Nothobranchius furzeri: one gene and its partner. The protein of the gene in region 1 interacts with the protein of each later gene in a pairwise test. Links are inferred from orthologs where the notes say so. Each region holds a gene or a part of one and is shown on either strand. Other genes may lie near its edges.

Region 1 (3,818 bases):
CAGTCCTCCTGCATGCTCAGATCATTCCCTTCCCTTGCTTAAAAAATTGTTCCAAAATGAAAGTTGGACCCACATCTTTTTTTATCTGTGAATTCAATGCCGTTCGGCGAGTCTCAAATAAAAATTTGGGCATCTTACTGTAAAAAAATATACCATTAATGTAAAAAAGAAACTCTAAAATAACTATGTTCACATTCAGAACTGAACCCGGGACTTCTGCACAAAAGCCCCAAATCTTACCAGGCGAGCTAAACCATCTGTAACATTTATATTCTTGATGACAGCTGAAACAACGTTCAACGAATGGTTCGGAGGGCTATGCCTGAGCGTGAACGCGCATGAAGCAGCCTGCTCGACCCGAGCAGCTCTCTTTTTCTGTGATTTTACAGAAAAACAGGCAATCACAGTAAAATGCCAGGGCTCATTCTACCGGACCAGGGCATTGCAGGAGAATGTATGAAGAAGAAATTTATTATTTCTATACATGTTTTGGCTGTCAAACTTCCATAATGCCCCTTTAATGATGATCCTACGGAAAGCCACAGACAGAAATGTGTTTTATAGCAAATATTTTTTTCCAACAACATGGAAATGTAAAAAAAAAAAAAACCTCCTTTGAACTTGAATTATATTTTTATAATGCATGAGTTTTCCAGGAGCTGTTAATAATCAGACAAGTTCATCGCAGATTGTTCTGAGTAAAGGCAGAACTATATTTATATAATCCTGCTTTGATTAATCTCTTGATAAAAAAAGTTCGATTTCATATTCTGCTGCGTAACTCCACTCACTTTCTGTCAGCGGGATGGAGATGATCACACCGTTTCCGGTTCCCACCCAGAGACGATTTCCACCAATCAGGAGGGCCGTGATCCGAACAAAAGAGAATCCCAGCTTACCAGTACCTGAGGTTTACAATCAGAGTCAGCGAAGTGTAACGACAGCTAAACCAGTAAAGATTTTTCAAGTCCCCGTAAAAATCAGCTGGTTACACAAACTGACCCAGCATCTTGCTGACATATGGCTCGATGTCAACGTCCTGGAGGTGCTGGTGTGTGTGCGCGTGGTACAGTCGCAGTGTTGAATCTAGTCGGATGGACACCCACACACCGTCACCGATCCACGCCAGCTGCCTCACCTGACTCTCCCTGCGAGGGTGAGCGTCAAAGGACTTCTACGACACCAGAACAGGACTGGGTGGGTAAGGGAATCATCAACAGCTGATGCTCCACCTGTCAGAGACTCACCTCGATCTGCATGCTTTTGGGCTGGATGACATGGATCTTGTTCTTATAGCCGCACCACACTTTATCATGGACAACAGCCATGCAGCGGATGGAGTGATGAGGACGACCCAGGTCCATGAGGTGGTAATTGGACAAGTCCCACTGGCCATCTGTGGAAGAAAAAAAACACACTTTTAAAGCAAAACCTATGTCTCTGAACAGCAGGAGGTCACACCTACAGTATATGAAATAAAACCTAAACCCAAAAGCATTCATGGAACTTCATTTAAAAAGTTTTTGAGAAAAAAGATATTTTTTCAGGTTCCATGAAGCATGGATTAATTACAAAAGAAACCTCCGAAACAGAAAATCCCTAATCCTCCCACCTTCTGATCTATGGAAAATAGCGAGCGTCCCGTCGGCCAGCGCCACCAGAACCCGACCCTTCACGTGTCTGCAGAGACAGAAACCAAAATTCACCATATTTATCTCCAGCTAGCTGATTGGTGACTCATCACGCAGGAGTTCAGATTTGTTTGTCTTACACCAGGCTGAGGACGGAATCTTTCAGTTTGATGGAGTGGAGACACTTCTTCCAGTTTCCAACAGCCGAGTGGACATAGAGCCTAGAAGAAAAGTAAAATTCCTGACAGACCCGGAAAGCCTAAAGGCTCTAAAATGTTTTACTGTAGAGACTCACCAGCCATTCTGGGCCCCGAGCCACATGGTGGGGGCAACACTGGTATAGTTTTTGGTCTCTTCCCCTCCGTCCTCTGACTCTGTGGGTTGGGACGCCTCCTCTTTGGACTGACCTGTGCTCCTGTGTGGATAGACGTGAGCATGAAGGGAGTTCTGATGACTAGTTTGTGCTTAGACAGACTTGTACCTGTCATCTGCCAGACGAGGCTGAGGATCTGTAAAGACATGCTCGGTGAAGGGTCCCGGGGGTCCGGATCTCATCTCTGTGTGGTTGGGAGTAGTTTCAGGAACTTCTGTTGCTTCTGTGGCCTCCTCTGCTGACTGAGCTGGGTGCATCTTCCCGTTCACAGGAGGAGCAGAGGGAGCTAGAGGAGACAGGAACTCAGTTGGTGCAACAGCTAAATATAGAAACACTAAAGAGTTTTTAAAACCTTAAGCTACTGCTTTCAAACTGGATCCAGTATCGCTCTAGAGCCGGAAACTAGACCAACTTTAAATTGGACAGCACTCCATAGCCCTCTGCACTTAACAGTTTTGTAGAAGTCTCTACCTGCTTTACAGCAATAGCTGTTTACTGTGCTGGTAGCTAATATTTAGGCTAGCAGTTAGCTTTTATAGTTCCCCGACTGTCAATAACAAGCACAAGAAGTCTTTGGAGGAGAAGCAAAGGGCTAAAACCAGAGTGAACATCCATATTGTCGTTCTTTTTTAAAGCACAGAAACGGTTTTGTTACCTGTTGTTGACGCTACGTTTCAGCGTCAGCCTGAAGAAGCCGGCAGCTGTCGGCGAAACGTAGCGTCAACAACAGGTAACAAAACTGTTTCTGTGCTTTAAAAAAGAACGACAACATGGAATTAGAAATAACGCACAGCAAGAACACACCTAAGATGTTCAAAGAGTGAACATCGGCGCAGCCTAAACTCGTTTCAGGGAGCTGAAGGAGGCTACAATGTCACAGACTGATGGTGACCTGGGTTTCTTCCTACTGGACTTGAAAGTAAAAACATTTTTTGTCCCAAAGTGGATTTTTTCACGTTTTAGTATTAGTTGGCTCGAGTTAGCATAAGAGGCTGCAGCAGGGTTGTTTACGACAGCTTTAATTCTGCTTTCAACCAGTAGAACGGAGAGGTGGGAAACATATTGAGTGTTACTTGAAAGCAAAAATCCAGACTTTTTTCCCCAGACAGCACCATCTAGAGGCAGAAAAATATATTTCTCTTTTAAGCCCCTCTCCATATTTCCGTGTTTACAGCTGGAAGCAACACCACTTGATCATAAACGTGCACCTCAAGCTGGTCAACAGAGCTAGAGCCCAAAATTTTACAATAATTATTTTGATGTTCAGCTGTTTATTCACACACACACACACACACACACACACACACACACACACACACACACACACACACACACTAACCTAAACTAAAAGTTAACAGGGTTCCCACGCGTCCTGGAAAACCTGGAAAATGATAGTCCAATTTTCCAGTCATGGAAAACACATGGAAAATGGGGGGAATTGCAAAATGTCCTGGAAATTTTTGAGTTGTCCTGGAAAATAATTTTCCATCCTTGTGGATAAACAAATGGATTAAACATTTTGGGCAATATTGGGCTGTAGCGCTTCTCCTTTAATTTCTGCATCTAGCTGGCACAGCGCCCCACATGACGCTTCCAACCAATCAGATTGCATAATCCCCTTCAGTTCCAGTTCCACTTCTGTTTTTCCAACTGTCTTTTTGGCTAGATTTACAGATTTTTCATCCCTAGATTTATTTCTCTAAAGAAGGGCCAAAAGTAGCGACTCGGTTCGCGAGTATTGCGTTATCGCAGTTTATAGAGCGAGAGGTTTTTCTCCTTCTCTCTGTTGAGTGACAAAGGAGCAGCGGAGAGCT
Region 2 (3,818 bases), on another chromosome or scaffold:
TTGGGACGTAGATCGACCGGTAAATCGAGAGCCTGGCTTTCTGCCTGAGCTCCCTCTTCACCACGACAGATCGGCTCAGCGTCCGCATCACTGCAGACGCCGGAGGAGCTGGTGGAGGTGGCCGGGGAGAGGACAGTCTGGAGCTCCCTAGTTGGGATGCTGCCCCCGTGGCTCGGACCCGGATAAGCGGAGGAAGACGACGACGACAACCTCAGTTCCTTGGATTTGAATTTGAGATCATGTCATGTTGAGAACATGAGAACATGACATGATCTCAAATTGATGTAGGGTGGACAGTCATGTCCTAAAAGTAAATGTGCAGTTTCACATAATATTACAAGAGCCTGTATAACCAGTGCTGCTGCCACTCCAGTTTGCAACCCGAATATCTGTAAAACTGACTGGGTTTTAGCTTTTTTCAGGTCTGACTCGTCTGAAAAAGCCTTTTATATGTTAATGAGCGTGTGTGTGTGTGTGTGTGTGTCTTCCTGCAGAGCTTCCAGAGAACTGGACAGACACGAGGGAGACCCTGCTGGAGGGCATGGTGTTTCACCTCAAGTACCTGGGGGTCACGATGGTCGAGCAGCCCAAAGGCGAGGAGCTGTCTGCAGCAGCTGTCAAGAGGATAGTGGCCACGGTGAGAGAGGACACACACACACACACACACACACACACACACACACACACACAATAGTGTTCTATTAATATGACTTCCCTCAGAAATGAGTTTCTGTCAAGCATTTATAATATTTTCTCCACATCATCACCTCGGCTACGCAACAGTCGTCCAGTAGTTTTCTTCTGTAATGACTCGACCAGTGGAAGGTGGCTGGCCTGCAGCTCAGGTTGACATTTTAGGCGAGTTAGCGTGGACTCTGCCACTTGCCGAGTGTCTGAGCGAGCTTCATCACGGCAGAGAAGACTTAATGTTACTGGATCTGGTGGAAAATGCAGCAGCATAAAGGTGGAACACGATGATGCATGAAGGGAGATATAAAGACTAATCTCTCTCTGAAGAGGATTACAGAGGACTTGGTGTGTTTGCTGTCGTTCTGATTAATAGGTGAGATTACATCATGGTAGAATCCTTGTTTTATCCCTTAAACTTTGTTTTTGTTAATGTCAGACTTGGATGCATTGGAACTCGATAACTTCAGTACACCTCTGTCATCTCTGTGGTCTGAACGGGCCTGAATGGCCCATTCAGGTTGTTATTTTCAGTCTGATTTAGTTTCTTTTGTCTTTCTGTCTTCTCAGTCCAAAGCCAGTGGGAAAAAGCCGCAGAAAGTGACGCTATCAGTGTCCCCGCGTGGAATCATCCTTTTCGACAGTGCCTCAAACCAGATGATGGAAAATATCTCCATATACAGGTCAGTTATTCGCCGTTGCCCCCTCTCGCGTGGTGGTTGTGTCTGTCAAACGGAGCCACCTGGAGTCTAGAACCCACCCACACTAAAACAAAAGCTGTCCATCTTGTCTTGCTTCCATTTTTCACCCGACGGACGTGTGGCATGCTAAGTTGATGCTGCTGAAGAGAGGAAGATGAGCCGATTCCTCCCTGGAGCCCAACAACAGCTGCATGTCTGAGCTCTGACCTGCAGCTTCATAGACTCCCACATTAGTCTTGTTTTATACAGATCTATCTTACCTGCCTCAGCCTGCAGGCTCGTCTTTCTTCCTCTAAAGCTCATGATCCAAGCGGGAATCACTTTTTCACATTCCACATTTATGAGTTTGCCTATGAAGGAGAGATCTGGGCGTTCCATCATTTTCTAAGGATGATTAGGCTTAAATGCTGAATTTGTCCTGATAAAAATGTCAAATTAAGGACTTAAATTTCAGCCTGGGATGTTTTTCTGAAGTTAGCGACCGACAAATTGACTTTACTGATTTCTTGGTTTATTTTACAGAAATCTAAAAGTGAACTTCTGCTTCTCTCAACTGTGTTGAATAAGAACGTTCTTCTGTTTTAAAGATCTCATTCACTGAGGAACCGTGTAATACCCGTTGTTTTTTAAATAAGAACAGTTTTTTTAAAGCACTCTAACCCTCATCGCCTGTGTTTGCTGCAGACAGGAAGTAGATGGGAAAACGACTGAGTCAGAACAAGCCAGAGGGAATAATGCATTCTTGGCCTCGTTCCTCAGCTTGTGACCAGCTAGCTTCTGCTAGCTACTAGCAATGCCGCAGCATGGCGAAACACGTTCAGGCTTGGGTTATTTGCGGAGATAAAACATCAACATTGCATTTTTTTTATCCAAGACAAGAACGAGCAAAGCCTGGAGGGGACCTGTGTTTATTTATCCAAGTTTACAGAGTGTAAATCGGGTTTGAGTCATATCCAAAAACACCAAAATAAACTTTTGTTTAACAAATCCATTTTCCTCTTATGGGAGCAACAGCTGCATGTCTGACCTTTGACCTCCAGGTTCATATGGACTGTTAGTCCAGCATCCATCCACTCACAGAACAACATACTTGAACTCTTTTGCTTGAGGCTGGGATGGGTACCAAATTCAGTACTTTTTAAGGCACTGACCGAATTCCACAGTACCGACTGAGTACCGATTCACGTCATATGAAACAGTGCCTTTTTCCAGTACCCGTGCTGCGCGCCGGCGCAAGAGCGTAATGTCGTCAGTCACTCTGGGTTAGCTGTAAACAACGCCACGGCAGAGAGGAAGCGTTCTGAAGTTTGGGTCCACTTCACTAAATGGAATGGGTACCTGGGTGATGATGAAACCAGCAACAACGATCTAAGTGAGACGTCATCATCTTAATCTGCTTCGGTAGGTAAATAAAACGTTTAAAATAATGTTAGCTTGAAATGTTGGCTTCCCTTCAGCTAATGTGCTTTCACATTTTCCTCGGAACTCCGAAATTCCGACTAGAAGAAAGCAATGGTGCTCTAAAGTTTGGCTTCACTTCACTGATTGCGATAGGCTGTTTGGTGATGTTGAAACCAGCGACAACGATCTGAGTGCGAGTCTTCTTAATCTGCTCCAGCAGCAAAATAAACTGTTTAAGATAACGTTAGCTTGATAGTTTCATTTTTGTTTACATAGCTAATGGTGCGTTCGCTTTCTCCTCGGAAATTCCAACCTCCGAGTAGGAAAAATAAACCGTTTGAAAATGAACGGCCAAAGGAATGAAGATGCACAGTAAATTTAGTTCACAGCAAAGATGTTTCCTTCACCTTCAGATCGGAGACATGGAATGGAGTCAAACTCCATCTGGGAACCAGCTCAACCTAGTAGCGCTTGCTTTGGTTGTTCAGGGATTAGAGATTCCTTAAAACAGACCCCAGTACCTCATACTGTTCAGCAGTCGGCTTTTCCTCATCACAAGGAGTTAGTTGAGGTGTGTTGGGTATCTGATTACCCATCTGCTCACCTTCCTCTGGAGGTTTCCTGGGAGTGTCTCATTGGGAAAATCCCTGGGGCAGAGCAGGAAGCTTTAAGAGGGACTATAGATCCTGTATGACCAGGAAAAGCTTTAGGATCTCCCAGGAGGAGCTGCAAAATCTCAAAAGTTAGACCTTGGAAAAGTGGGAGACAGTGGATGGATGAAAGGATGGAAGAATGAAACGATGGACAGATGGATGAAAGGATGAATGGATGATTTCCTCGTAAATGCAACACCTCTTGAACCAACAACTAAAACTAAACAACTAAAAGATTGAAAACCCATAAGAACTGTTCTGGACTCCCGGTTCCCCCAACCAGACCTTTGGTGTTGTTCAGACCACAGCTGTGACCCCCTCCCTCTCTCAGCATGCCTTCATTTGTTCATCTGTAAATAAATACATAATTATCTCA

What was found.
Region 2: the proteins of mapk8ip3 (region 1) and ldlrap1b interact in binary tests that used the Homo sapiens proteins (3 or more experiments, as listed by UniProt). The two-hybrid records come from large-scale screens. The link is inferred for Nothobranchius furzeri from reciprocal best matches to the Homo sapiens genes MAPK8IP3 and LDLRAP1.

What each region holds. Positions count from the first base shown.
Region 1 is NC_091752.1:51,058,700-51,062,517, forward strand, and holds part of mapk8ip3 (C-Jun-amino-terminal kinase-interacting protein 3), read right to left. Parts: intron 2,291-3,818; coding exon 2,113-2,290; intron 2,047-2,112; coding exon 1,927-2,046; intron 1,853-1,926; coding exon 1,772-1,852; intron 1,681-1,771; coding exon 1,613-1,680; intron 1,397-1,612; coding exon 1,248-1,396; intron 1,175-1,247; coding exon 1,003-1,174; intron 906-1,002; coding exon 792-905; intron 1-791.
Region 2 is NC_091758.1:35,449,570-35,453,387, reverse strand, and holds part of ldlrap1b (low density lipoprotein receptor adapter protein 1b), read left to right. Parts: intron 1-494; coding exon 495-637; intron 638-1,257; coding exon 1,258-1,370; intron 1,371-3,818. UniProt on the Homo sapiens protein: Adapter protein (clathrin-associated sorting protein (CLASP)) required for efficient endocytosis of the LDL receptor (LDLR) in polarized cells such as hepatocytes and lymphocytes, but not in non-polarized cells (fibroblasts).